4 linked regions of the Rhinolophus ferrumequinum genome follow. The protein of the gene in region 1 interacts with the protein of each later gene in a biochemical or structural test. Links are inferred from orthologs where the notes say so. Each region holds a gene or a part of one and is shown on either strand. Other genes may lie near its edges.

What was found.
Region 2: the proteins of DLG3 (region 1) and NET1 interact in a test that uses a peptide from one of them, tested with the Homo sapiens proteins (2 studies listed by IntAct, with this or other methods). The link is inferred for Rhinolophus ferrumequinum from reciprocal best matches to the Homo sapiens genes DLG3 and NET1.
Region 3: the proteins of DLG3 (region 1) and FRMPD4 interact in a test that uses a peptide from one of them, tested with the Homo sapiens proteins (2 studies listed by IntAct, with this or other methods). The link is inferred for Rhinolophus ferrumequinum from reciprocal best matches to the Homo sapiens genes DLG3 and FRMPD4.
Region 4: the proteins of DLG3 (region 1) and GDA form a complex in vitro, tested with the Homo sapiens proteins (2 studies listed by BioGRID and IntAct, with this or other methods). The link is inferred for Rhinolophus ferrumequinum from reciprocal best matches to the Homo sapiens genes DLG3 and GDA.

What each region holds. Positions count from the first base shown.
Region 1 is NC_046284.1:2,238,702-2,246,160, forward strand, and holds the start of DLG3 (disks large homolog 3), read right to left. Parts: upstream 3,016-7,459; 5' UTR 2,660-3,015; coding exon 2,303-2,659; intron 1-2,302. UniProt on the Homo sapiens protein: Required for learning most likely through its role in synaptic plasticity following NMDA receptor signaling.
Region 2 is NW_022680355.1:11,537,872-11,544,869, reverse strand, and holds the start of NET1 (neuroepithelial cell-transforming gene 1 protein), read right to left. Parts: upstream 3,007-6,998; 5' UTR 2,871-3,006; coding exon 2,743-2,870; intron 1-2,742. UniProt on the Homo sapiens protein: Acts as a guanine nucleotide exchange factor (GEF) for RhoA GTPase. May be involved in activation of the SAPK/JNK pathway Stimulates genotoxic stress-induced RHOB activity in breast cancer cells leading to their cell death.
Region 3 is NC_046284.1:117,977,044-117,984,480, forward strand, and holds the start of FRMPD4 (FERM and PDZ domain-containing protein 4), read right to left. Parts: upstream 3,014-7,437; 5' UTR 2,785-3,013; intron 1-2,784. UniProt on the Homo sapiens protein: Positive regulator of dendritic spine morphogenesis and density. Required for the maintenance of excitatory synaptic transmission. Binds phosphatidylinositol 4,5-bisphosphate.
Region 4 is NC_046295.1:38,297,135-38,304,195, forward strand, and holds the start of GDA (guanine deaminase), read left to right. Parts: upstream 1-4,040; 5' UTR 4,041-4,219; coding exon 4,220-4,342; intron 4,343-7,061. UniProt on the Homo sapiens protein: Catalyzes the hydrolytic deamination of guanine, producing xanthine and ammonia.

The sequences.
Region 1 (7,459 bases):
CCAAGCCAGGGGCGGGACAGGAGCAGAGTAGACAAGATTCCCCACGAGGGAGGAGCTGATGCCCGTGGACTGACGGGCAGCAGAGTCCATGGCCTTCAACATCTAGTAGCCATGGGAAGAGATGCAAGGGAAGGGGTCAGAATGCAGGGTTACTCTGACCAGCCCACAGAGGTGGCCTCCCAGACAAGATATACTTGTGGCCACTGTCATACTTCTGGACAGACAAGTAGCACCTGCTCCCTGACTCCCACTCTCATCATCCCCACGAATGGAGAAGCCCTCTTGCCTCTCTCCCCAGGTAACCTGGCACCCATCCCACATCTTTCTCTGGCTGAGTTGCCCCTTTCCTGACCCCAGGTCTCCTTTGAAGAGCAGAGCTGGGAATCCAGGATGAGGGCTCCTCCAAATGCCCTGCTCTGCTTTCCTCCTCCCACACAGCTTTGGCTTCCAGAGGCAGAAAGGTGGAGAGGGGGAGAGGGCTGGCTAGTCATGCCTCCACCTTTCCTGGGTCTGGTCATGGAACTTTATGCCGTGCAGCCCTAGGAGTTGGGGGGAGGACTCCAGCTGCAGCCCCACTCTGGTCCCTGATCCCAGGAGGAAGAACTGATGACTCTTCAGAGTCCCCAAACCGACACAGCTGCCTGAAATACCATGTGAAAGAAACACAGGCAAAAGGACACTCATGCAGCTCTTGCATGCATCTGGGGTACCATGTGTACCCACATGTGATAAGCCATGCTTCAAGCCCAGTACCACTGACATCCAGAGGATCCAGCTGCCACTGGTCCACCCTCCCACTGCCCCCCTCAGGGACCCTGCTCCCAGGACCAGGAGCCATCCAGGGATCAGCCCTGGCAGACAAACCTTGGCCAACTGGTCCAGCCTTGGAACTGTCACTCATCTCTCAGTTGATCGGGACAAGCATGAGAGAGTGTTTGCAAGGGTAGTGCCCCATGATAGAGAGGAAAAGGAGACACGGGGACTCGCTGCAGAGGGCAAGGGGCCAAGGCAAGGGACACGGGATGCAGTCAGTGTAGACAGACAGAAGACCAGAACCCAGGACCCCTCTCTGCAGGAAGTCCTCACCTTTGCTTCTGAGTGAGAGCACATCCTATCCCCAGAGGAGGACAGAGGCAGCCAGAATGGTCACCAGCTTGGGGCCATCAGCACCTGCCCTCAACAGCAAACCCTCCTTCTCTCCCCCTACCCTGGGTGCTGCAGAGCTGAATAACCAGACAGGCCCTCCGCCATGCGTGCCAGGGACCTGGCTCTGCCGGCCCAGCCTCCATTTTGCTGCTTCTCCCACAGATGCTTCTTCCATTTTCTAAGCTGGCAGTTTAGGCTGGGAGTGGAAGCCAGAGTTGTGCCCAGCACCCAGGGGTTCCCAAGCTGTGCCAAGTCAGGCCTGGGGGGCCAAGCTCTTCCACATCTGGGGGGACCCAAGGGGCACATGCCCCACTGGGGCCAGTCCCTGCACCAGGGCACCATGCCTGCTCTGGAGCGAGGAAGCTGGCTTCAACCCCCCCCCCCCCCAGCACACACTTCAGAGCTGCTTGGACAAAAGAGTCCGTCCTCAGTCTCTCAGCCTTGCTTGGGACGTGTCTCTCTCCTCCTCCCCCTCCCCTCTGTTGCCTGTCAAGAGCCTCTAACCAGGGACACCACACACACACACACACACACACACACACACACACACACAGGCACATGCTCACACACATACATGGAGCCACACACACAGGCACACAGAGACACCTCCACCTTCAGAGACACGGCCTCACACCGTCCATGTGCCCATTCACACACAAAGGGACTGGGACGGAGAGGGACTCCTGGCAGGGAGGGAGGACGCTCAGGGAGCCTGGCACATGGGCTCTACATAGATTCAAAGGAGCACCATTGCCTTCCTCCACACACCTCAACGCACACGTCCCCCTACGCAGAACACCGTGCCCCCTCCTCCCCTGCCGTGGAGACACACCACACACAGCCCCCGCAGAACCTCCCGCCCCCTGCCAGACACAGAGACACTGCTAAACCCCCACACTGAGACAGCCCAATTCCCCCGCACAGGAAAATGTGCCCCTCCGCCATACCTTCACCCCCTGACACAGACAGTTCCTCCCAACCCCCTCCAAATGGAGACCCCCAAACAGACACACACAAGGAAGCACACATTTCCCACCGCCTCTCCTGGTCCGGCTTGCAGCCCCAGGAAGCCCTACTGCACCCCAGGCCTCTCGGCCCCCACTCCCCAGCCCCTTGGGGTTGCCCCAACGACCCCCCCAGCTCCGCTGATCCATACCTGCTCATACCAGTCTCGGTTGGTACAGGTGCACTCTGGCCACCAACTGGGGCCGCTGCCGTTGAGTTTGGGGGTGCTCTTGCCCGGGACTGGCTTAGGGGGCACTGGCCCCACATCGCGGCCGGTGGGGATGAGCTTGGCCTTGGTGCGGGGGGTAGGGGTGGCCCCCGCCTGCGAGGGCAGGGTCTGCGAGCTGTAGCCCCCATAAACTGTGCTGGCTCCATTGCCTCCACCTGGCCCGTAGGGGTCGGGCACCTGCCAGTCCCCGTAGCCGGGAGGCTCCAGGCGCCGCAGGGCGGCCAGGCGGGTCACCTCGTAGCACTCGGGGCACTTACAGCAGTGCTGGTGCTTGTGCATAGCACTGCCCCCCGCGGCCCGGACCCCCCAGCCCACGCCGCTTTCCACGCCGCCGCCGCCGCCGGCGCCGGGCTCCCGGGCACACTCACACTGCTCGGACCAGGAAGGGGGGGGGACCCGTGGGGGCGCCCGGGCGGACCGGGGCCTGGGGCCGGGCGGGCGTCCTGGGGCCTCTGCCCCAACGCTGCCCCGCACCCACGGCTCCCCCTCCAGCACTGGCGGCTCCGTGTCGCCCGTAATGGCTTCTGGGCCGAGGCCCAGCGGCAAACAAGAAGCGGGAGTCTGGGCAGAGGATGGGTGCTGCGAGGACCGCTCCTGCACTGGTCCCCAGGATGGATCTGAGTGGAGTCAAGAGCATCTCTCCCTGGCTCCCGTCTCAGTTGATTCCAGCCAATCAGCGTGCAGAGTCGGGCAGCGGCAGCGGCAGCGGTAGGAATGCTAAACAGCGGCTCCTTAAAGGAACAGGGGCAGTGGATCCCCAGGCTCAGCCCCAACCCCCCAGATGGCTGAGGTACCGCTGACCCTAGGGCGGTCGCATGGGACTTGGGCCACGCGTGAACTCAGTCCCCAATCTCGTGTCCTCATACCCCCAATTTCAGCGCATCCTCCGCCCACTCCACCCCACCCCACTTCCCAGAGGGAGTTGCAGGGGGACGCTCAGTGGGTCCCCGGGCGTGCTCTGAGCTGGGGCCACCAGAAGTAAAGATTTGAGGCAGCACAACGGACGAAGGGACGGTGGGGAAGTGCTCTCTCCTAACAGGGGATAAGGGAAGAGGGCGGCTTACGAGGCTGCTCTCCTGTCGGGGGCCCCCTCCTCAGGACTATTGTTCTCTCAACCTCTAGGCCCTGAAATGCTGTCAGCCTCCCACTCGACCTGCTTCCATCACCAGTGAAGGACTTAAGCCTAGGACCGGAGGGAAGGAAAGCTCTAGGCTCTTGTCCCTGGCCCACAGACTCCTGTCTCCCCCCAGCCCCACTCCCGCACAGTTAGGTTGAAGGAAAGCGCTTCAGGATGCCAAGAGGAAAGAGAGACCAGGGCAGGAGGAAAAAGGCAGGAAGAGGTCTGAAGTAAGAGGAACCATTCCTGGGGTCTGCAGAAGAACTTGGGATACTTGCCCAAGGACATCCCCTTAGCTGCTCCTGGCTCAGCCTGCTGGGGGATGGAAGGAGGATGGCATGCTGGGAGGATTCTATCTTTTTGCTCTTCTTTTTTTTTTTTTAACTACAGTTGACATACAATATTATATTGGTTTCAGATGTACAGCATAGTGGTTAGACATTTCTGACTACAAAGTGATCCCCCCGATTAGTACTCACCTGGCACCATACATACTTATTACAACATCATTGACTATGTTCCCTATGCTGTACTTTACGTCCCCGTGACTACTTTGTAACTACCAATTTGTACTTCTTAATCCCTTCACCTTTTCTACCCAGCCCCCCAACTCCCTCCCATCTGGTAACCATCAGTTTCCTCTGTGTTTCTGTGAGTTTTGCTGTCCTTGTTTTGTCATCAGCTACCAATTATTGAGTCTTTACAAAGTCCTAAATGCTTTGCATGCAGACAAAAACCCTACCAAGGTGCCACTATTATTACCCTATTTTTACCAACGAGAAATCGAGGCTCAGAGCTGTTAACACAGCTAGGTACCACAGCAGGAGGTGACAGAATCAGGATGCAAATCCTGGCCATTTGCCTCCAGAGTCCATGCTCTGAACCACTTCAGTACAACAGAACTTAGATCTCACTTCAGTTCAACAATCATTGCACACCTACTCTGTGCAAGACCTTGACCTAGGTCCTAGGGATACAGAAATTCATTCTTAATTCAACAAATATTCATTGAGCACCTGTTATGTGCCAGAAACTGTTCTAGGATTTGGGGATATTGCAGAAAACAGAACAAAACACAACAAATCCCTGCCCTTGGGGAGCTTACATTCTAGTGAGAGAACACAGACAAAACTGAGCACAATAAATAAATGAATCACACAGTATATATGATGAGAAGTGCTGCGGAAAAAAAGAAAAAAGTAGAGTCAACAACTGGTAAATGTCTTGTTATATTTGCTCTATCGATCGACCTACACTTCTTTCTGAACCATTCAAATGTAAGTTCCAGATTTCATTTCACTTCTCTAAATACTTCAGCATGCATCTTGTTGGAATGAAGACATTCTCCTACATAACCACAATATTATTATGACATCAAAGAAAATAAGCAATATTTCATATCACCTAATATCATCTAATATCCAGTTCTATATTCAAATTTCCCCCAATTTGCCTTTTATATTTTTTAACATCACAAACTAATCAAGGTTCTCAAATTACATTTGTGTCTTTAGCTACTTTTAATCTAAGCAGCCTCAATCTTAAAAAACAAATACTTTTTATTTAAAAATAATTATAGATTTACAAGGAAGTTGCATAGATAGTACAGAGGGGGCCTGTATACCCTTCACCCAGCTTCCCTCAATGATTGCATCTTCCATAATTATTGTACAAAATCAAAATCAGGAAATTGACATCGGTTCGATGTGTGTATAGTACTATGCCATTTTACCACATATGGAGATTTCTGTAACAACCATCGCAATCAAGATACAGAACCATTTTATCACCACCAAGATCTACTTGTGTCATTTCATCAAGTTGAGGAAAGAAGAAACTTGACCTCCCTTTAAGTCTCTTTCCTCTGTCCCATTTATAGTATGATTATCTTCAATATTTCCACTACATGTATTGAACTCCACATCAATGGTGTTATACTTATTGCTTCAATCATCAAACATAATTTAGACAGCTCAAGAGGAAAAGGAAAGTCTATGTGCTTACAGTTTAATTCATTCTATTATTTCTTCCCTCCTGATGTTCTAAGATTTCTACTTTGATAGCTCCTTTCTGTTTTGAAAACTGCTTTTAACCGTTTTTTTTTAGGGTGGATCTGCTGGCAATATATTCTCTTAGCTTTCCTTTGTTTGAGGATATCTTGATTTCCCTCTCATTTCCGAGGCTATATTCACTAGATATAGCATTCAAGGTTGGCAGTTCTTTTCTTTCAACACTTGAAATAAATTGTGCCACTTCCTTCTGGCCTCCATGGTTTCCGATGAGAAATCCACTGATATTTGAATTGTTTTTCTCCTGTAGGTAAGGTGTTGTTTCTTTCTTGCTGCTTTCAAGATTTTCTGTTTGTCTTGTTTTCAAACGTTTGATTGTAATGTGTCTTGGCATGGATTTCTTTGAAATTATCCTATTTGGGATAATTTCAGCTTCTTGAATCTGTAGGTTTATGTTTTTTGCCAAATTAGGGAAATTTTCAGCCATTGTTTCTTGAGGACTTTTTCATCCCCACCCTCTTTCTCTTCTCCTGGGACTCTGATGACACAAATGTTAGGTCTTTTGTTATAGTCCCACATGTCTGAGGCTCTGTGTTTTTTTTGTTGTTTGTTTGTTTTTTAAGTCTATTTTCCCACTATTCAGATTGGGTAATTTCTAATGTTCTATTTTCAAGTTCTCTGATTCTTTCCTCCGTCCTCTTCCACCCTGCTGGTGAGTCCATCCACTGAATTTTTTAGTTCGGTTATGGCATTCATCTGTTCTAAAATTTCTATTTGATTCTTCATGATATCTCCTATTTCTTTGCTAAGACTTCCTATTTTTTTTTTTTTTTTTTCAACCTGTGTGTAACTGCTCACTGAAGCACAACGTTTCTTTTTAACGTTGACCACTTTAGAATCCTTTTCAGATCATTGAAAGCTCTCTGTCATCTTGGTGTTGGAATCTGTTATTTCTCATTCAGTTGAGAGTCTCCTGGTTCCTCGTATGAAGAGAGATTTTTTATTGCATCCTAGACATTTTTGGCTATTATATTATAAAATTCTGGAACTTATTTAAATCTTTGTTTTTGGTAGACTTCTTCTGACACTGTAGCCATCAGTGGAAGGGCCACTGCCAGGTAGGGACAGAATTTCAAGTTCTCCCCTCCATGTCAGTTGATACCTCAAATGGGGGCTCTTCCTTACTGCTGGGCAGGGTGGGAGTTCCAGCTCTCCACCGATACGTGGGAGAGGTTGAGGTACCTCCTTCCTGATCCCCAGGTGGCTTCCACTGACCATGGGTGGGGGCGAGGGTGATTAAGGAGTAGGGGAGGGAGGGGAGGAGGGAGAGGGCAGGGACAAAAGTCCTGACTCTTCACTAGGCCTCCTCTGACACCACCCAGTGGGGAGGGGAGGCCTTGTTGCTCTGTGGGGATGGAAGCCCAGGCTCCCTATTAGACCTTCTCTGACACCACCCCAGAGAACATGGGGGAGCTTGATGAAAGTCTGAATTTCTACTTGGCCTTTGCTGGTGTGTGTAGGGATGCAGTTTTTTCTGTGATGTTTGGTTGCAGTAGAGTGGTTATTATCTAACAGTTTTCTCTCTGGCTACGCTGTCCATTTCCTGGTCTTTTGGCTAGAGAGAGCAGGCTTTTATTGAGGCTTTTTTTGGTTGGTGCCCACAGGATTTCCAGGCTGCTCACTTTTCTGGAACCCAGTCTGGGACATAGGAGACAACAAGAAAATGCAGGGAACTCACCACCGTGAGTTCAGGTCACTGGAGTTCCTAGTCAGTCTGCTGTTTTCTTTTTCTTTTTTAAAATTTTTATTGGGAATATTGGGAAACAGTGTGTTTCTCTAGGGCCCATCACCTCCAAGTTGTTGTCCTTCAATCTAGTTGTGGAGGGCGCAGCTCAGCTCCAAGTCCAGTCGCCATTTTCAATCTTTAGTTGCAAGGGGCGCAGCCCACCATCC
Region 2 (6,998 bases), on another chromosome or scaffold:
TAAAAAGCAAGCAAAACAGAAGGACTAATGATAGGATTATAGCAGTGTAAGTCATTGAAATTAGCAAGAAGGAAGACTTGAGGCATAGGGACACCCAAAATATGACAAAGTGTAACTGAAAATTATTTGGGATGCCCCCAGATCTATTGAGAATTCCTTCCTATGTGAAAACAAGAATACAGTATAGTACTGAAATGTAGCTGTTGGGCTAAGGAAGTTGCCCCCACACACCACAAGTGCAACTCAAATACCTCAGCCTAATTACAAAATACTACACATAACTGAAAAAAAACTAAAAAATGTTAAGATTAACATTTTACCATGAATGTAGAAAGAATGTAGAAATAGTAAACTATTCTCTATTGTTAAACATTTGTTGATTCTGGGGATGCTAACTATTCGGGTTCTCAGTTTCTTTGCAAATCAGGCAAAACAAAAAGATAATCATCATGGAAACAATTCATTTATTCGGGTCAGTCTCATGTAATAGACATCTCCTGCTTTTTTGACTGCTCAGCATCTTTGTTATTAAGGAACTGTCTCTTCTCCTACCTCATAAAGATTCTGGGAGAGCTGATAATCATATCTCCCCTACCACGTGGGGTTTGTCACCTGTCTCAAAGTCCCAAACAACAGATACAGCTTAGAACAGCTCTAGTCTAGAACACAGTTAAGCATGTAGAAACCAGCACACATACATTCCAAACGTCGCATTAGAGCCTTTGTATTATGCCATTCTAACATACTTACAGGTTGCCCTGCCCACAACATCAAATTCAGGAGCAAGGGTACGAGGCACAATGACAGCAGCAAGTAACAGTGAGGAAATAAAAAAAAATCTAAAAACATACATCATTAAAAAATCTAGTAGGCTTTGAAAAACAGTTTGGCAATTCCTTAAAAAGGTGAACGTAAGTTTACCAAGTGACCCAGCATTCCACTCCTAGGAATCTACCCTAGAGAAACAAAAACATGTCCACAGAAAGACCTGCATGTAAACGTTCCTAGCAGCATTATCTATAATAACCAAAATTGGAAACAATTCAAATCTCCAACCACTGGTAAATGGACTGACAAAATGTGGAATATTCATTTCACACAGTAGAATCCTCTTTAGCAATAAAAAGGAATGAAAATATTGATGCATGGATAACAGGAAAGACATGCAGATGCAAAAGATTACATATTGCATGATTCCATTTATATGATATCCAGAAATATAAATTTATAGAGATGGAAAGCAGATTAATGGCTGCCTAGGCCTGGGGGTGGGAGTGGGGACTGTCAACAAACTTGAGGTCATCTTTGGGGTGATGAAATGTTCTAACAGTGGACTGTGGTGATGGTTGCACAACTATAAATTTACTTATAATCACTGAATTGCACACTTACAATGGATGAATGTTATGATATGCAAATTACATCTCAAACTGTTAAAAAGTGCAGCCAGCTGATGTGGAAGCAAATAGTCTTAGGAGCTAGTGGACATCCTTTTATTTTTAGCAACTATTAATATTAACAAACAGTAATAATAATGACAGTCCTGGCTCAGTTTTTTGTTTATAGGCCCTAATGTAATTTAAAATGTTTTGAAAAACAGTCCACCCAAAAAGTTAAGTTACCTTAAAAGGAACAGGAACCCTCAGATCTGAGTTATAAAACAGCTAGCCTTGCTTGAGACTTTACCTTAAAACCCTGGATATTCATTCTACAAGTCATCAATTTTATTGGAAAAACAAAATTCAAAGAGTAAGACTGTCACTACTGGTACATCATAGGTCACGGTATTATCTTTCTACCAATGGATAGAGTCTGTTAAAAGGAAAATATTATACCCTTAAAAGGATCACTATATGTTTATATTCCAGCCATACAGGTGACATGTAATGTTCAATGGATTCTCCTAAGGCCCCAACGGGCAGAAACAGAATTATGCAAATGTTATTAAAATATTTATGTTTGCAAAGAGGAGCTCCTTGAAAGTGGCTATGTGAGTCAAAGTAATTGCTTCACTGATTAATATTACTAACACAAATCTTTCGAGACATACAGTGGAGGACGCATGGCAAATAGAACATTAAATTAGGAGTTTGGAAATACAGGACAAAATCTGCCCAGTATTTAGCCGTGACATTTCATTGAGCTTTAAAAAGCCTAATATACAAAAGAAGCTGTACTAATTAATTTCCATGGCCTCCTCTTTCAATACTAAAATGGATGAGTCAATGGTTTTCTATAATCGCAGCAACAAATTTTGCTGAATGCTTACTATGGACCAGGCACTACTCTAAGCACTTCAGATGCGTATATGAGTTATCTGCATTAACTCACAATCCTCACAGCGACTCTACAAGGCAGGTATTAGGACCACTCCCACTTCATAAATGGAGCTGGGGCCATGCATCACCTAACTTGTCGGTGACAGAACCAAGATTCACGTCAGGCAGTCGGGCTCCGGCATTGTTAACTGCTGGGTGTCTGTCAGAAGTCGCCGCGCTCGGGTGACAATCCCTCTCCCCCTACCCGACAGGCTCCTGGACAGGTTCAGCCTCCTCATTTGCATGTTTCGGAACCGCCCCCATCCCAGCCAGTACAGGCTGGCGCCGAGAGCCGGCCCCCCGCGGTCAGCCCGCGCTCCCCACTTGAGGGAGGTCGGAGGAGGAGGGTGACCGGCGCCTGTCCCCCTCCCGGGCCTCGGACCGCCTGCCTGGGTCCCCAGTCGCTGCTGCTCCCTGCGCTCACCTGCCGGCAGGCTCCGGGCGGGGGTTGTCCGGCGAAGGCCCCGCGGCGCCGCCCGCGCAGAGCTCGGAAGCCCGGCGGCTTCGCCTCCGCGGTTGGGGCTGCTTCTGGGCCGCCAGCTCGGGATCCATGGCGCGGAGGGGGGTGGGGCGGTGGCCGGGTGCCCGGGAGGCCCTCAGGGACGGGCACCGCGCCGGACCACTTCTGCTCGCAGAAAAGTTTCAGTCAGGAGCGCGCCGCCGCAGCCGCCGCCATCTTCCGGGGTTTGAAAATGGCGGCCGCGTTTCGACCAGCCAATCAGGGGACAACGGGCAGTTGCTAGGAAACGAGTCCCTCCCCTCTCTCTACCCTTCCTGTTGCTCAAGCAGAAGCAGGAAAGGAAGGATGGTTGGAGGGAATATCCCTGCAGATTAGTGAGTGGCCTTGGATTTAATTCTGACTCCATTCCTGAATCTTCAAGGCCTGATACCTCTCACTGTTACTAGGACTTTCACTGCAGGCCAGGGCACAAGAGAGGTTAAAAGTAATGACTTAAGATGAGGTTTGTTTATTGGCCACCTACCTGCTAAATTATTCATGTAAGATAAATCCCCAGTTACCAAAGGTAATGGAAATGTGTTTTCAGGGCTGTCTCTAGGAAACCAGTAAAATCTAATCATGAGCCCTTCTGTCTCCCAGTGCGGAAGAGACAGTCAGCAAAAGAGTAAAGAAGGCAGCAAAATGCACATCGAATAAGGACTTTCTCAAATAAAAAAAATGCTAAATAGTACATTCTTTGATTTTAAATATCGCTTTTTATGTATCCAAGGCTTTAAAAGTAACCTCTCCTTTGACACTATTCTATTCCTGGGATTCTATTCCTGGGAATCTGTCCTAGGAAATAAAATTATATGTGCAGTGAAGGGTGGCAGAATATGCCAGCCCCACATGTGCTACTTTGGCATTAGGATCATTTTGAACTACAGGCACTTAAAGAACACCAAGTGTGGGAAGGACACTCTGGCCTCCCGGTGTCTTCCTGAAAGCAGGAGCTAAAAGCCACGTGAAAGCTGCCCTCCCTATACCAGGAGGAAAGAAACATGTTTATCGGCAAAGATGGCGGGGAGTCAAGGGAGACCAAATTCTGTACAAACAGACCTTATTAAAATAACTCTTATCTTCCCTTGGTCTCTCCATCTACTTTAGTTACTTTTCCCCAATTACCTCTCTTCCTCTGTCTTAGTGTATAAGCACTTAGATTTTGCCACTTTGGGTCTTCATTTTCCTCTGGGGGCTCCCATGTTCATGTAAAATCTGTTTGCTTTTCCTTTGTTAATCTGTCATCTGTCATTTTAACTCTCATGCTGAGTTGGACACCCTGAGGGTAAACTTGTGTTTCCCCTACAAAGGGAAGCTATTGATGGCATTGTTATTTAATGGCATCAGAAAAAGTACAGACAATCTAAATAAACAGTGATAGGGAAATGGTTAATTATGGTTGATCCACTGGAAAGAATATTTTCAGCCAGTAAAAATTAACTATGAAGTGTGTTATAGAATAGTATATTGTAATTTTTAAATAAAACATGGAATATAGGGTGGCCAGTTAGCTCAGTTGGTTAGAGTGCAGTGCTCTTGACAACAAGGTTGCCCGTTCGATCCCTGCATGGGCCCTGTGAGCTGCGCCCTCCATAACTAGATTGAAACAACTACTTGATTTGGAGTTGATGGGTCCTGGAAAAACACACAAAATAAAAGTTTTTTAAAAAATGGAATATAAAGTTATATTTTGTGTATTCAGAGCTATGCATAAGAGACTTAACAAAGGAAACATATGAAATCAATGTATTAAAATGTCTCTAGGATATCAGACTTTGGGTATTAAATTTTTTAAAATTTCTTGTATTTATAATTTTTTTTACTGGTGAGGTACTGAACTCACATCACATTTATAACACAAGGGAAAACATGTTTTAGTTTTAAGGAGGGTAGGAAGTTAGGGAGTAAGATGCCCATAGTTAAGATCCACCTCTATTTTACCTTTTCCTACCACCCCCCAAAATTAAAGAAGAAAGTACTGCTTTGTTAGAGTAAAACAACACAGACATGCCACCTAGGGAGTTGATCTCTACCCAGACGGAGCTTTATAGGACGTACGCATTTAGATCATACCTTGTGAAATCTCCAACATTTGACCTTTTCAAAGCAGCAATTTCATCATTTCAACCTTATATTTTAGTGAGAGCTCCAGAATTTAGAGTCTGTCAGCTCTGCAGGTCCTGAAACTGGTTTTGATGGTATAATTAGAGATGGTCAGTTCTCTGGGAACTTTAATAATCAGTTCCCAAAGTGATAGATAATCCCGGATGTTGATGTGGGGATCCTCGGTGTGGAGAATCCCCACATCAACTGAGCGGGGATTCTCAGAATAATGCTGAGAACCTCTTTCCAATTTTCAGATACTTGGGAACTTACTATTATATTTTCTTCAATTATTCACAAGTGTTTATTGAACTCCTATTATAATACACCAGGCCCTGTGTTGGATACTAGAGAAAAAATTAATAGGAGGCAAATTTTAATCAGAGGTAAACTTTCTGGTGTTTGAACATCCCTGTCTCTATATGCAACATCTTACTCTGCCTAGAACTCTGCCCGAATATATGACAAATGTTCCCTGCATCTCCTCTTTTATCCAGCTCCATGCAAACCATCCACCTCTATTAACATATTCTTTGGGGCAAGGTTTGAGGGAATTGATTAAGTTTCAGCTTTCATATATATTATAAAAATCAGACTCTAGATTTCCCTCCCTGAGAAGATATTCCCATTGTCTTAATTGGACGTAAACATTACTCAAATTTCTTCAACCGTAGATTTACAAATATTGTATTGCGGGACATTCTCAAAGATCACTTCCAAAATCTTCGGCCATACTCAATGACAGCACTCATCATGTAGGTTGATATTAAACATATTCAACAACTAGTATACTAGTGTAAGTTAATATGTAAATCAATAATTCCAAAAATTATTCTCTTACATTATCTAAATAAGTCAAACTCTATTTTTGTAAAATTGCTTACCAAGTGATACATATGCTGGTTGTAGCAACCAGTAAGGTCACACAATATATACCAGCTGTTTCATAATGGGTTTTAGAGGGACAATGCTGGCAATTCACAGTTCTTCTCGTGAACTCCGTGTTTTTTTGTCTTCTGCCACTTGCAACAATCTGATTTACCACTCTACATCATAGATATTCAGTTCTTTCATCAGACTCCTGTTTTGCAGAAGAATCACAATTAGAAAAATGCTTCAAAGATATCGAAGCTATGATATCTTAAGCTGCCAATGGGAAGCTTCCTGTACGGTAAACTTATTTTATGAAAAAAACTTTTAATAATCTTACCTGTTAACCTGAAGAGTGTTTATAGGCATAATGGAGCAGAAAATTTGAAATCAGGTTTGCTATTTCTTAAAATCTATCGTGTGTGGTGGGGAGGGGAAATTGTTTCATTGTTTTGCATCTGTCAATCATCTATTTTCTCTAAAGGTTTGTTTTCAGATGTTCCAATGAGAGACACACAAAAAAATTAGAAACTGGAGTGTTTACTGTAGGTTTTAAGAAGAGATTAAAACTTGAGAAGAAAAATATGTGGCCAGAAAAAGCACTATTAATTAGAAGTCGATTGAGACTAATTTATGGTATGTTTACACTATCTTACAAAGAGGACAGTGAAGCGTTAAAATACTGAATTATGCTAGTAATGGGAGAGGAGGATGGGGAGGAAAAAGAGAGAAATGTGGGCATTGTGGGTGTGGGACTGACAATGGAAAATGATTTGGGTTGGGGCAGTCAGGGCTGCCAACAAAGAATTAGCAAAGATAACTTCTGAAGTGTCAGAACATCATTCGGAATTATTTCTCAGAGCTGAGGATTTCTTTTTTTTTTAACGAGATTTTCTTAGAAGATTTTCCTTTTCTCATTACCTTAGCCGGTAATTGGCTAGTCTATATTAAAAAAAGATTTAAGAAAGGACTTTTGAAATCCTAACCGTAGACACCAAACTTTAATGCTTGCAAGTTTTTTCACTCTTTTTCAGGACCTAAAGAGAGCCACCTTGTGTGTCAGTGAGGGTTCTATCAGAGAAGCAGAACACATACGCACACACACACACACACACACACACACACTTTTTTCCTTTAAGACTTTTTATGTATGTATATGTTGTTGACTGGACAAAATAATTCTCCAGGTAGTCCACCAAAAGAGCAGT
Region 3 (7,437 bases), about 120 Mb from region 1:
CATAATGATCACCATAACCAGGATACGCGTTGTTATTATTTCTAAACATTGATGAAAGCCCAACTATGCCCTGAGCACTGTTAGGCACTTTTACATAATAATCTCATGAGATAAATGGATTATTTCCATTTTGGAGTGAGAAGACTTAACAATAGAAGACAAAGCATTTCCCTCTCCTTTTGGTCCTTCGGTATCAGGCCTGTGGCTAGAGATACTCTTGTGTAATGTCATTAATTTCCATATGAGGAGTTGGTTGTCTTAACCTTTATATTGTACCTTTAATAAGTCATAGCTCTTCAGGTTTTAGACGTATAAAGAGAAAGTTCACAATCTGTTCACTTTTTTGGTTGTTGTTAACTACCATGAGGCATGAAGTGAGTGAAGAGATCACACAGCAAAGAGGATCCACCCTGCAGCCCAGAATGGCAAAAGCTCCAGGTCGGAAGTCCCTTTTGCATTCCCTCAAAACCATAGCAACTCTATTTCTGCTCTTGTTTTTCTTCTGAACCCAAACAATATTTATCCTCCAGGAATTATTTCTAAAAATAAAACAAGAAGAAACATGTCTCTACCTTTGGTTTCTAAATGTTACTTGTAACCTCCGATTTCGTTTAATTCCCCACTAGAAAACACTGTCCGTTTCGCTATCTTCAGGCTCCATGCAGTTAGAAAATGTATGCCCTCAATGCTTCATGTGCCCGTCCTGCCACTGGGGCGGGGAGATTCCCATAAAGGAAATATGGTGGAGTTCACTGCGGCTCAGCCCCGAGCTATGGACCATTACTTCTTGTAACGCTCTGCCTTTCATCAACTATCAAGCCAAGTCCAGCCCAAACAGTTGGGACGCTGGGACCCCACATCTGAGTTTTTCTCTTGTTTCACTGGCCACTCCTTTTCAGTGTCTTTTCCTATTTCTTCCTCCTCTTTCTGACCTCCACAGTTGGAGTCCTTGGGGACCATCCTCAGCCTTTTGTTGCCCCGCAACAAACAATTATCTGACCCCAAATGCCAATGGAAAGTTTGCCCTAAAAGATTTTATTCAATGCTATCATATACCCAGATTCAATCCACATGTTGATGACTCCCAAATTTCAATCTCTAGTCCTGCTTTTTCTCCCCACCCCAGGTTCTTATATGCAACTGTCTCCACTTATGTCTGTTAGGTGCCTCAAACTTCACTTGTTCACATGTTTGTGGGCAAGAGTTTGCTTGTGAACAAGTGAAGTTCGAGGCACCTAACAGTAAGTGGAGACACTTGCATATAAGAACCTGGAGTTGGGAGAAAAGGCAGGACTGGAGATTGAAATCTGGCACCATCCAAGGAATTGTCTCAGATTCGAATTCTGATTTTATGGAAATCATTCGATGCATGCATACTATGACTAGAATCAAAGAATGATGGAACTGTAGGGATCTATCTCTGGGAGATGAGAGGAAGACTCAGAAGCTTTTGAGATGGACCTAAATTTATACACTTCTTGTGATGGGAGAGCCAGAATGAGAACTATTGTTTGTTACAGCTTCAGGGCTGATACGTTTTCCTGTAGCTGACTTGGCTCCCTTACGTAAAATATGTAGCTCAGTTGCTTTCGCATCATTATTTTCCTAAGTCATTGTTAGATAGACAGTTTCCTATAGTACAGGGGTCAGCAAACTACAGCCCGCAGGCCAAACCGGGTCTGCCACCTGTTTTTGTACAGCCCATGAGAATGATTTTACCATTTTTAAACAGGAAAAAGTTCCGAAGAACAATAATAATTCATGACATGTGAAAAATATATTAAAAACAAATTTTAGTGTCTGTAAATAAAGTTTTATTGGAACATAGCCACACTCATTCATTTAGGTATTGTCTCTGCCTGCCTATGCACTACAGCGGCAGAACTGAATAGTCACAACATACACCATCTGGCTGGCAAACTGAAAATATTTACTATCTGGCCCCTTACAGAAAAAGTATAGTGACCCTGGTCTACTGACAAGAGCTCAAACATTAGATTTCAAGAAAAACAAACAAACAAACATGGATTTCAGTTTTCACTCATCTGACAGTGTGATCTTTGAGTACGATTCAATGTCTGTGAACCTGAAATTAAATGGGGATCATAAGACTTTCCCTGAAGGGTTGTCAGACGTGTTAGAAGCAATGCCTGTACAGGTTTAAAATATACTAGGAACTCAACAAATATCAGCAATGACAATAATAATACTTACTAATATTATCATTAACACAAACTTTACCTTCAAAATTTCCCCTTTGGTATGCATTGAGAGTTCCTGTGTCAAATGCCTTTTGAAATGCAGGCAAATACACGACGTAAAACAACTATCCTAGCCCCTTTCATCCATTAGTTGGGTGATGACAGAACAAATTCTCATCACATCATGTTTTGACAGCAGACTGCAAGGAGGTTAATATCTTTACAATTCACGTCATTGCACCCCATCATGAATTCCCTGAGTAATCAGTTTCCTGGAAAATTGTCTCCCGAGTGATAAAGTGACACTATCTGAAATAGGAAATTATCATATCCTGCCCAATCCTCTTTCCAACTTTCTTATCCCAAGAATGTCAGAAAATAAGTTCAGTTAACAGAAAACGGGGAGCCAACATTCAGTTAACAAATAGCAGATAGAAACAGTCCCCAGGCTACCAGAACCCTACTCCTTCAGATTTCCTGGAGGACACTTAGAGTGGCCATAGAGGCCGAGTTTAGCCTTGCGTTTTGAACAGCATCGCCACAGGCATCTAGGATCAGAGTTGGGAGTATGCCTGACACTCACCTTGACCTCAGCCCTGTCCACCTCCTGTCCTTCAGAAGATTCTGCCATCCCTGGTGGCTTCTTGGCATCAGACATGCCTCCTGGCTTCCATCTCATTCCTGGAGTGCAAAAGAGGTCAATTCTAGCCCTTTTTCTTTGTGTGACCCCATCCTCTCCCCTTCTTGCATCCCGCCATTTTCTCCTGTTCTCTAGTCAGTTTGGGCTTAGCAGAGTTACTTGCAGCCTCCTCAGACTTCCTCTTCCCGCTTCACTCCCCTTTCTATGGCACTTTCTGGGATGATCCACATCTCTCACGAGTGACAAGACGTCATCTTGCTAATTAACATATGGCCTAATTATGGCGGTGTTACACTTTAGAAGACAGAATTAAAATCTGGAATGACCCAAGTAATTAGGAGGAGCAGGCAGAGACAAATGAAAGCAGCAGTGACAAAGTGAGGGTGGGCAATGACTTGGGCACGTCCTCTGAGGCTGAAAACAACTGGCCTCTACTCAGGTGCATGGACACCTGGGGATTGACTCCAAGCAGGCTGCTAATGTCACAAGGGAGTATCCTATGTAGGGCAAGAGGGGATTTTCTTTCCTCACCCTCCTCTTTATCCTCTCCTCCAGCACCCGTGGTGAGAGCAAATGAATCAGAAAAATTCATGCCCACAGAGTTGAATTTTCACAGGGTGTTGCAGAAGACCCGGGACAGTGGGGAGGGGTGCAGTGTGATAGCTTTTTTTTTTTTTTTGCACTTTCTTTTGATACTATTTTTTATTTATTTTTAATTATAATTGATATACGTGTGATAGTTTAACTGCCGTGCTGAGGTGGACACTAGAAAGTGGTTCCTACTCTGCTAGCATTTTGGCCTGGGATTAGAAAAATAAGGACATCATGTGCACATTGGTTGGGTTCCCCCAGAAGTGGACTTTGGGTCAAGAATGTGAGTACAAGGTGTTCATTTGGGAGATCTAGGAAACCCTGGCAAGGAATGAGAAAATGTGACAGGGAGGGGAAAGAACGTGATAGAAGGTATGTCAGCAAGCACGTTATCACTGTGAGCCACTGGAGCTCAATCCAGCTGGGGAGACAGAGCAGAACAGGGGTCAGCCAATTTTTCCCATAATGGGTGAGATAGTGGATGTTTCCCGCTTAGTGGGACAAATGATCTCTGTCACAACTACTCAACTCTGCCTCTGTAATGTAAAAGCAGCCATAGATAGTACAGAAATAAATGGGTATGGCTGTGTGCCGATAAAACTTTATTTGCAAAACCAGGCAGCCAGTCCAAGTGCTGTCGTTTGTCAGCCTCTTGCTGTAGAATAGTGTCTCTCAAACTTCTGTGGTGAAAAACAAAATGTTTAAAAATGTCCAAAACAAGACCTTTGTAAATACAACAACAATGAATCACTAGAAAACATGAAATAAAAAACACATTCAAAATACAAGTCTTTCAAAAAATTATTAGAATGAAAAGACACGCAATGTCTCTAATTGCTGTAAGTTTCTAAATACTCTGAAATTGTACGACTTTTCATGGTCTTATTGGCCATCTACCTATAAACTTTTGTGAAGTGTATTTTCAAGTCCCATTTAAAAAACATAGTTTCTCAGAGAATTGCTTGGTGGTGTAGCCAACCCCCGTCTCCCTCCCCCTCCCCAGGAACTGGGTACCAGAATGGTTAGATGCCCTTTAGACAATCAAATAGCAACATCATAAGTTTGAGCCTGCGGGGGCTGCAGAAAAGTCTAGGCTGGAATAATAAATTTGCAAGTCATCAGCATACAGATAGTATCCAAAACCATGAGATTGGATAAAGTCTCTGATCTGACGGGGTAAGGGTAGAGAAAGGAGCCCAGGAGGGAGGCCTAGCAGCTTCCAGCCACCCACAGGGTGGTATTATCCCTGTAGAAAGTTTGTGTAAGATGAAACATTGGTGGTTTCACAGACAAGATGGAGTTTGAAAAGCCTTTGGGGCTCCGGGAGAGAGGCAAGGGCAGAATGAGCTCTAGCTCCAACACAGAACAGTCTGGTTTTTATCAGTTTCAACACTTAAGCTTTATTTCCAGAAGAAACGATAAGGCTTGGGGTATTCACTGCTAAGTGTATTTGCTACCTGGATCTAAGTGAAAGGACCCTACGCCCCCTTTACCATTTCTATAGAAACGAAGCCACTACTGTATGCCTATGGTAGACATTGTTTACTTTCAAGTAAGCAACAATATTTTCATTATACAAAGCTTTGAATGCATGCAATCCTCTATGACAAGATTTCTGATAAATTATATTGCTTTTGAAAAAATTGGGCTTTATTGTAAAATATTTTGGTTCCAAATGACCTAATAGTCAAGAATCTGCCAAATATTATTGTGATGATTAAATTTTATGCGTCAACTTGTCTAGGCTACGGTTGCTTGGTTGGTCAAATACTAACTTAGTGAAGGTATTCTGTAGATGGTATTAACATCTACAATCAGTTGTCTTTAAGTAAAGGAGATTACACTCTGTACTGTGGGTGGGTCTTATCCAATCAGTTGAAGGCCTTAAGAGCAAAAACTGAGGTTTCCTGGAGCATAAGGAATTCTGCCTTAAGACTGTTAACAGAGAAATCTTGCCTGAATTTCTAGACTGGTGGCTTACCCTATACACTTAGAACTTAAGACTACAACATCAACTCCTGCCTGAGTTTCCAGCCTGCCAGACTGCCCTACAGATTTCAGACTTGCCAGGCCCCACAATTTTGTGGGGCAAGTCCTTAGAATAAATTTCTTTTGTGTGTGTGTGGGGGCGAGTGTGGGTGTGTGTACACACACACACATATATGCAAATATATCCTATTGGTTCTGTGTCTCTAGAGAACTTTGACTGATAAAGCTATTTATTCACAGATTTCATGTAGGTAAACATTAATAAGAAAACTATATTGAATGGTCAAGAAGCATCCTTGGTGCTCCTCTAATGACGTGTACTACCCCAGGACACCAGAGGTGCCTTCAGATGTTTGATGAATGGAAAAAAGAGGAAGGGAGGGAAACATTTCCATCTGCCAACTGAACTTTCCTGCAGTTTCTGCTTGGAAATCAAGATGGAGATGATCTGTAACTGGTGGCCTTGATGCTGACACAGACCACCCTCAGCACCTCTTGGACAGTTCACCGCGTGCCACTCAGAAAAGAAAAAGGCTGATGAGTTGTTCTTTATAGACACTGAGGGTAGACATTTCCAAAACCATAGTGACTTCTAGAAACAATATGCCATTGATAAGAAATTACTTCGAATTGCAAAATGCATCTGTGTCAAAGAAATGGATGTAGAAGACCGCACATTCTTTTGTTAGCAAAACTGAATTCAGCCAGATACACTTTCCCATGTTATTACAAAGCGAGTTCTATAATAATTAGCAACAGACTGAAAGACAGCTGATTTTCTAAATCACTTGCTTACCGATACAGGATTGCAACTCAATAGGACACTCTGAATAACTTATTTTTAGGACATATGTTTTGCATGCCATTATTTTCACAAAGAGATGTTTTGTGAAACAAATTGTTCATGTCTCTGACAGATTTTTATGTAAGAAGTAAATAGAAATACCTTCATAAGATCATAGGCCTAAATGTAAATGCAAAAACCCTAACATTTCTTGAGAAAAATCATAGGAAAATATCTTCTTGATGTTGTCGTAATCAAAGATTTTGTTAAACGTGACCCATAAAGCATTAACAATAAAATAAAAAGTGATACACTGCATTTCATCAAAATGAAAAGCTTCTGCTCACCAAAAGACACCATTAGGAAATGAAAAGGCAAACCACAGGCTGTGATCAGATTTGTAATACACAACCCATGACAAAGTACGCGAATCCGGATGCTAAATAGAACTGCTACAATCAACAATAAAAAAGACAAACAACTATGGTTTTGAAATGGGCCTTGAAAATAACACTTCACAAAAGAAGATTATAGATAGATGGCCAATAAGCACATGAAAAGATACTCAGTGTCATTAGTGATCAAGAAATGCAAATTAAAACAATGAGATGCTACTATAAACCCAGTTAGTTTAAATGGAAAGGTTAGCATTAACAAGTGGTAGCCAGGATACAGAGCAACAGGATGCTTATACACTGTTGGTGGGGATATAAATGGTGTGACATATTTGGAAGAGTTTGACACTTTCTCATATACTTTCCATAGTCTTACTTATAGGTATTTCGCTCCTTGGATGGTTACCCAGTGGAGATGAAAACATATGTCTACACAAAGACTTGCATATAAATGTTCACAGGAACTTTATTCATGGTAGCCAAAAACTAGAAACACCCAAATGTCCATCAAAAAGTGAGTGCATAATCAAATTGTGGTATATTCAAACAACGTTATATTACTCAGCAATATAAAGGAACGGACTACTGATAACATGCAATGACATGAATGAATCTCAAAATCAGTACGTGGAGTGATCAGTACGTTGGCCTGGGGTTGGTGGTGGAAGAATCAGAGGTAGATCTGACTAGAAAGGGACATGAGAGATCTTTCTGGGGAGACAGAAATGTTCCATATCTTGATAGAGGCGATGGGTACGTGGATGTATTGCTTTGTTAAAACTCACTGAACTGTGCACTTAAGGTCTTTGCTTTTTACTTCCTGTACATTATGCCTTA
Region 4 (7,061 bases), on another chromosome or scaffold:
CCCAATGAATTACTCACTATTAGCGCACACACTGACTGTTGCCTCTTATTTTTTAATCATTGAACTAGACGCAGTAGAGCCATCTCTTGAAATTCAGCATTTATATAAGTCTGTCAAGGAGCTCCTGTTGTCCAGGCAGTGTGTTAGGGGATACAGAAAAAGAAAGGAAAAAAAGAGGACGTGGTCCTTTAGAAAACCACAGTCTTCTGGAGGAGACAATTATAGTACCTTACAAACTCAGAGGACGAGCCCTTAATACCTGAGAGAGACAGGAAGTGTAAAGATTTCCTGGAGCGGGGTGGGAGTGGACAATTAAGCTGAAGGATTTAGCCAGGGGAGAGTGGGTAGTGAAATGAGGCAGGCATGCTACAAGGTAGCATAAAAACACTGCAGTCAGAAAGACGGTGAGCAAACCTGATGCATAATATGTGGGAGACTGGAAGAAAAGCCTGAAGAAGCAGCTAGGGCTTCGGGAAGCATCCATACCATGGAGAGTCTTTTCTTTGGAAGGAAGTGATATGTGGGGGTAAGGCACTGAAATTGCACACCGTTGTTGGATTTCCTTTTGGGAAACTGATTTGAAAGGAGCCGTTAATGACAGGGAATAGTGAGACTAGAGCAGTGCAGTGAAATGCACATTGAATAATAATCTCTAAGGCGCTTTCAGTTCTAATATTACATGAATATAAACATGGGCTATAGAAAGAGCTAAAGAATAGAAACTGCTATTTCCTCGAGGCTTTAGAGGCACAATAAATACCATTTGTTCTCTACTTTGCCCTAGTCAGAATAACCATATTCACCAGAAACTGATTTTGTGATGTGCTTGGGCTGTTTCAAAGGTGAATGTATAAGCTTTGCACTCCTTTCTTCCTCCAAACCTTAGTAGCCTTGAGAACATTTCCCTGGGGATATCAGGATGGGCATCAAAATTGCAGGAAGACCAACAATTCAAACGAAACTGCAAGTCTGAGGGTGGAGAAGAGGTGTGAGTAGGTCAGGTACCCAAGATTTCCTGATGGTGGCTGAGCTGAGACTACTGGATCCTGAGTGAGGAGCCTACAACTTGGCTGGGAAAGGAATCGAAACTGTTCACCCGGGAGAGTGAACATTTTACCTGAGGCTTGCGAATGTCATGTCACCTGGAGGCCCATGGCCATTCCTTCTATTTTAAGATTAACTTCATTTAGAACTACACAATTAATTACTCACACCATAAGCCACACGCAACATTGTCAGTAAACATCAAACAAAATTCCTTAGCAGTTCCATTACCTCAACTGGACAATAGCCATTGTTTGTGTTACCTTTTTAATTCTAGCCATTATGCCTTATAGGCGTTTCATGATTTTAAACAAGGATAAATGCTATTTTAAAAAAAACCCAATATTTTATTATATGTAATTCCTGTGAGGCTACATAGTTCCTTTATTGTTTCTAGTAACTACTTAACATTCTACTAAGGAGATACATGCTAATTCTCTAAACTAATCTCAATTGTTGGCCATTTAGGTGACTTTCATTAAAAAAAAAAGTTAGCTACGTCTGTTTGAGTGAACCAATCTGTCTTTTTAGAAGCATTTAATTGACTTCTCTTTTACCATAATAGGCAGACATTTTCTGCACTTTTCTTTCCGAGGTTTGTGTCTATATACAAACAGGTCAAGAGGATGTTTTCAGTGTGCTGGCTGTTGGGACTGCAGGGAGGGAATGTGGTTTGCAGAATCAGGAGAAAGTGACTGAGGAAGGGCAAACATCCCCACGAGGCAAGTGCAATGCTCTCGCTTTAAGGTCTTCTCCTTTGGGTCTTTGGCAGGGTGGTCAACCACACGGTGTGCCTGTGACCGAGGAGTTTCCTGGATTTTGAGACTTTCAGTGCTAAAACCAGGAAAGACCCCCCTAAATGGGCATGAGTCGGTCCCCCTACACAGTGGCATGAAGGGAGTGAAGGAACTGAGAAAATAATGAATCATTTATATAAGCTAGCCCTGTGTCATAAAAGCATCAGAAAATCTGCTCATGCACAGCAATGAAACATTTATTTTTTTATGTAGGAGCCAAAAATGGATATTTATCTCAGGTTATTGCTCTGCTCCCCCTGAAACCATTTCTTCATTTATTCAATAAACATGTATGAAACATCAGGCACTGTTCAAGGCATAAGACCTCTGTTTTTGTGGTACTTTGGTGTGTGTGTGTGTGTGTGTGTGTGTGTGTGTATTGGGGAAGGGAAGCAGAAATATATGAAAAACACATGAAATACATGAGGATGGACTATGATAAATGCAATGGCAGAAATCGGATTAATGGAATGGAAACCTCGGGAGGGAGTGCTACTAGCTTGTTGGTGGGGGAAGGTTACTCTGAAGAGCTGACATTTGAAGCAAACCAGTAGGAAGAAGAGCTGGTCGTATGAGGATCCACGGGAGCATTAGGGGGAGCAGCATGTGCAAAGGCCCTGACTGGAAACCAGTTGGTCTTCTCGGAGGAACTCAGTAAAGGACTTTGTGGATGTCAGGTAGGGATGAATGCTGACCTAGAAGCAGTCTTAGCAACCACCAGTTTCCTTGGCAACCAGTCCAGCTTCCATTTTCACAAAGGAGGATGATAAGACTGCTGAGGTCCATGTGCATTGACCACGGTCTCTTGGTTCCTAATCCAGCACCCTTTCCACTAAGCCACGCCACACTGCCATTCCCACCTCCTTGGCTTGAGTATTTAATTGCTTTGTACACTGAAGTAAATCAAAGAGATTCATTCATTTTAGGTATGAGAAAAATTGAAGTTGGAATTGTTTGTGGATGGACACAAAGGCCAAAATATTGGCCTCAATGTAAAGAGAGTAACTTTGGGGTCCAGATTAACCTCCAATGGTGGGGTCCCCATGTCGTGAGCAGGCAGGACATGGCTAACAAAGTAGCAGTCTCACACACGTTTGTGTCTTTCCATAATGTCAGGCTTCATTAAAATAAAACCATGGATCTAGTCCCATTGGCTCAGTTTACCACAGGCATCAACCAAGGCTCCCGCCAAAAGATAGTCTCCAATAGTCAAGGTAGAGCGGTTTCATGTAAGAGGGTCATACAGGTTTGCAAGCAATAGGGTTAGGTAAGGTGAACAGGGTCGTTTGAAAGAAGGATGAGAGAGAGTCCGGTGTTCAGCAGAAGTCCTTACCGCCCTGCGGTGTGCAGCAGCAGGCTTGAAGCCCAGCTGCTGAGACGGTCAGGAGGCAGGGCTTCAGGCCTCCATCTGGAATGAGTGCAGATGAGGCTGGCAGCTCCTCAGTTGAGGCCTGAGCAATGAGCGGTCAGAGAGCTTCGAGTTTAGGCTCAAGACTGGGTGTGGTGCACCCATCTGCAGTCTGATAAAGCCGTCCAGGTGGTCACCCTTCACCCCGAGTCTGGAATTATCTGGTTAAGACGTTCACTGGATATACCTTTCAGGTAATGCTCTGGCATGACTGTCATTTTGTGACTGACATAACTATCAAAATTATTAGAGTCCATTTTGTGTTCATTATTAATGCTCTATACACCCCAGTAATTCTGTAAGACACATTCCCAGAACATCAGGTGAGGACAAATTCTGCAGCTCGCCAGAAGCTGAATATGAAACTGGTGAGTAAGTTTGGCAGCCCTAAGTTACCTTTCACTTTACCTTGTGTCAGTTCAGGCCTTGTGGGTGCTACAGGTTGAAGAGTCCAGGGTTTGGCCACAAATAGCCGTAAGAGTTTAAAGGGCAGAGAAAGCAGGCAGATGTGATTCTAGGTATGACAACTAAAGGAAGGTGGAGGAGGTTGGGGGGTAGAGAGCAAAAGAAAATGTAGTGCCTTATTCAAGGTACAGGACTGGGATCCTGAATCCTCCCGTTTCTTCCTTCATCTCCCGCCCCCTGGGTGGGTGACAGCCGCCACGGGTTAAAAGAACCGCAACGTGAGCGGTGACTGGCAACTCAAAGAGTTAACACACAATCAAAACTAACGCAGGGGAGGAGAGAAACACCACACCCCACAGGAGCGCGGAGCCAACTCCCGAGAGAGAAATTCTATTGGCGTCGAGAAGCAGGGAGCCAGCCCCTGGGCGCGGCTTGCAGGGGGCAGGCGGTCGTTGAGGGAAGCGGAAACAAGACCAGGCTGGAGCCGGTGGCAGTTCTGCAGTCTCCGGCTTCCCGGTGACCCTCTCCGCGTCTCCTCCCAGTGCGCCTGGCTCGGCCCGCTGACATGTGTGCCGCCCCGATGCCGCCCCTGGCGCACATCTTCCGAGGGACGTTCATCCACTCCACCTGGACCTGCCCCATGGAGGTGCTCCGGGATCACCTCCTCGGCGTGAGCGAGAGCGGCAAAGTAAGCGGTCGGGCGGCGGGGCGCACCCCGAGCGGCGGGCAGACAGGTGGCAGGCATCCCGGTGGCAGGCATCCCTTGAGCTGCGCTGCGGGGCCAGGAGTTCGCTCCGTGCGCGGCAGCGAGCGCCGCGGCTCCGGAGTTGAACTTGAGTGTTTGGCTTTTGGGGAATGTCAGAAAAATTCTGGCGCTAGGTTCGTGAGCTGGCCAGGAAGTAACGTGTTCCCAGAAGCTGGGAGCCTTGGAGTCCCATGGGTTGGACAGCCGTTCAGGCTGCAGTGGAAGGGGGAGCAAAGCTATACCCTAGCGAATCTTAAAGAGATCATTAATAAACCAGAACATGACTTCATTCATCTTCGTATCTCCGGACCCTGGCAGAGTGCCTGACCCAGGCTAGGCGCTACGTACATTTATTGTGAAAGAAATAACGGAAGAGAGGTCATTTGATCAATATTTTTTAGCCCTGTCAGTGCATGGAATAAGGAAAGAACTGAATTCATTCACCTGATAATTTAACAGACAATATACTTATGATTCAGACTACTTGTAATACTAGAAAGGATAATAGAGAGATATTATCCATCCCCTGCCCCACCACACACCCATAGCCCTCTGCATCAAAACAAGCAGTTCCGTTTTGTGGTTCAACGTGTCTTCTATGAGTGTATCTTCTATACTTCCTTTTTTCCAAAATCAAGACTTCTATAAACGACATGGGTAACTTGATGTCTAATATTTACTATTCCATAACACACCGATAGTAACTTTATCAGCAGTGTCCTGGCCAGTTTGACAAGTAAAAGCCATCTCATTTTTAGAAGAAAAAGTAAAGCTGGGTATAGGATGTTTTTGAGCTTTTCCCCAGCAGTTTGGTTAGCAAAAGTACAAGTGTTGTGACTTGTCAGCTTGGAGATACTATTCCTGACTAAAGATTCTTCCGAGTCAGTGACGGTTTTGAATCAGGACTCTTACATTTGGGAATAACTAAACCCCTGTTTTTTTATGGTACTTAAAAAAAAATATTCTCTCTGTGCACACTCAGGGAGCCTGCTGTTATGTTTCCAAGGTGATGGAACTCTCAGAGCTCCCCCAAATGGGAAGACTCGCATAAACCCTGAGACTGATGAATTGTTGCCTTATGTACCTGACCCTCAAGTTTCAGGGAACGCTTATCACTCAGAGCATGTCTCAAGAGGCAAAGGAACAGAGACTGTTAACAGGAAAGATTAGAGGTGTTTGCCTAATCACAAGGAGCTGTTAAACTCTTAGGATTCTTTTTAAAAATCAATTTCCCATATCCAGAATTTTAATTGGTAAGCTAGCAGACAAGGGAGTGGGTTTGAGGACTGGCTTTAACCAGTGAAGATGAATAAGAAAAGGAAGTAATTTATCGAGAAAATTACCTTTTCTGGGTGTTGTACAGAAGAAGAATAAGAGTGTCCCAAACATGTAATTAGTAGTTGAGTCAGGAAGTCTATTCGTAAGGAAGGAACATATTGAAGTTATAAATTTAGAAAAATGTCATTTCCCCACAAGAGAACATTAACTAGGAATTGAATACAAAGGTGAGTTAATCAAGTGGCTTAGATTTATGGTATAAAAATGCTCTAATCAGTGAGTTGGTAACTGCCTCCTGCTCTCTTCCTAGGTGCAAGGCAGTTGATTTCTGCCTGTGTGTAAAGGGAGGGCACGTCATATACAGAGGGTGCCAAAAAATGTATACACATTTTAAGAGATGTTATGTATATAGCAGTAGTTCGCCATAATCAGAAGTGTCTGGACGCTGACGGTAACCACTTTGAGCACCTCTTGTAATTGCAGAAGTCAAACGTGACTATCTGTATTACAATTTTCATACAGTTTTTTCCTTTCTTAAAATGTGTGTACATTTTTTTGGCACCCTCTGTATATATCAAGACTTGATTTCCCTCATTTGAAAGTGGGAATGCCTCTCCTTTAAAGTTACTGGGATAAATATTTAAAATTTTTCAGAACTCTAAACAGAAAATTATATCCCCATGAAATAAATATGAAGAATCATCATGATCTTTACATTTTTACTGAGCTTCTAAAGCGGTTCTCAAACGTTGGGATGAATCATAAACATCTCGGGGTGCTTGTTAAAATGTCAATTCCTGGGCATCATCCTCAGAGAATCTGAATCCATAGGCCTGGAGTGGGCCCAGCCTATGGGTTCCAACAAAGGTCCCAGGAGATCCTAATGTAGGTAGTGAGTGCATTACATGTTGGGTAACCACAGCATATAGGCTGTTTGATGGAACCAGTTGTGGGGGGATCTGGGGTGCTCGGTTCTCCATTACAAGCCCAGGTCTGGGGTAGCATCTCCGAGAGGGGTCATGACCTCCTCTGTCCTTTTCCCTCTCCCTCCTAGACCTCATCCCTCATTTTATACAACTTCATTTAGGCCCAGAGAATGGTAATAACTGACCACTTTTGATTCATTAATTTAAGCTCATTCAAAATTAGGTTAATTAAAAAAAATTCTCTAGTCAACCTTTTAGCATTGGGCATTTTGAATTCAGAGTTAGTTTTTCTGCTCAAGGAGCATGGAGCTTTTCAAAAGAAAGATGCCAGCCTGTATAATTCACCTGCAGATATTTAATTCATGTTGAGACAGTGTGTGCTCAAATATTACCCAATTACCTGATTCTTCCCATATGCAACAGAGTCAGGTTGACTTTAGAGGTACATAAAGATGCCC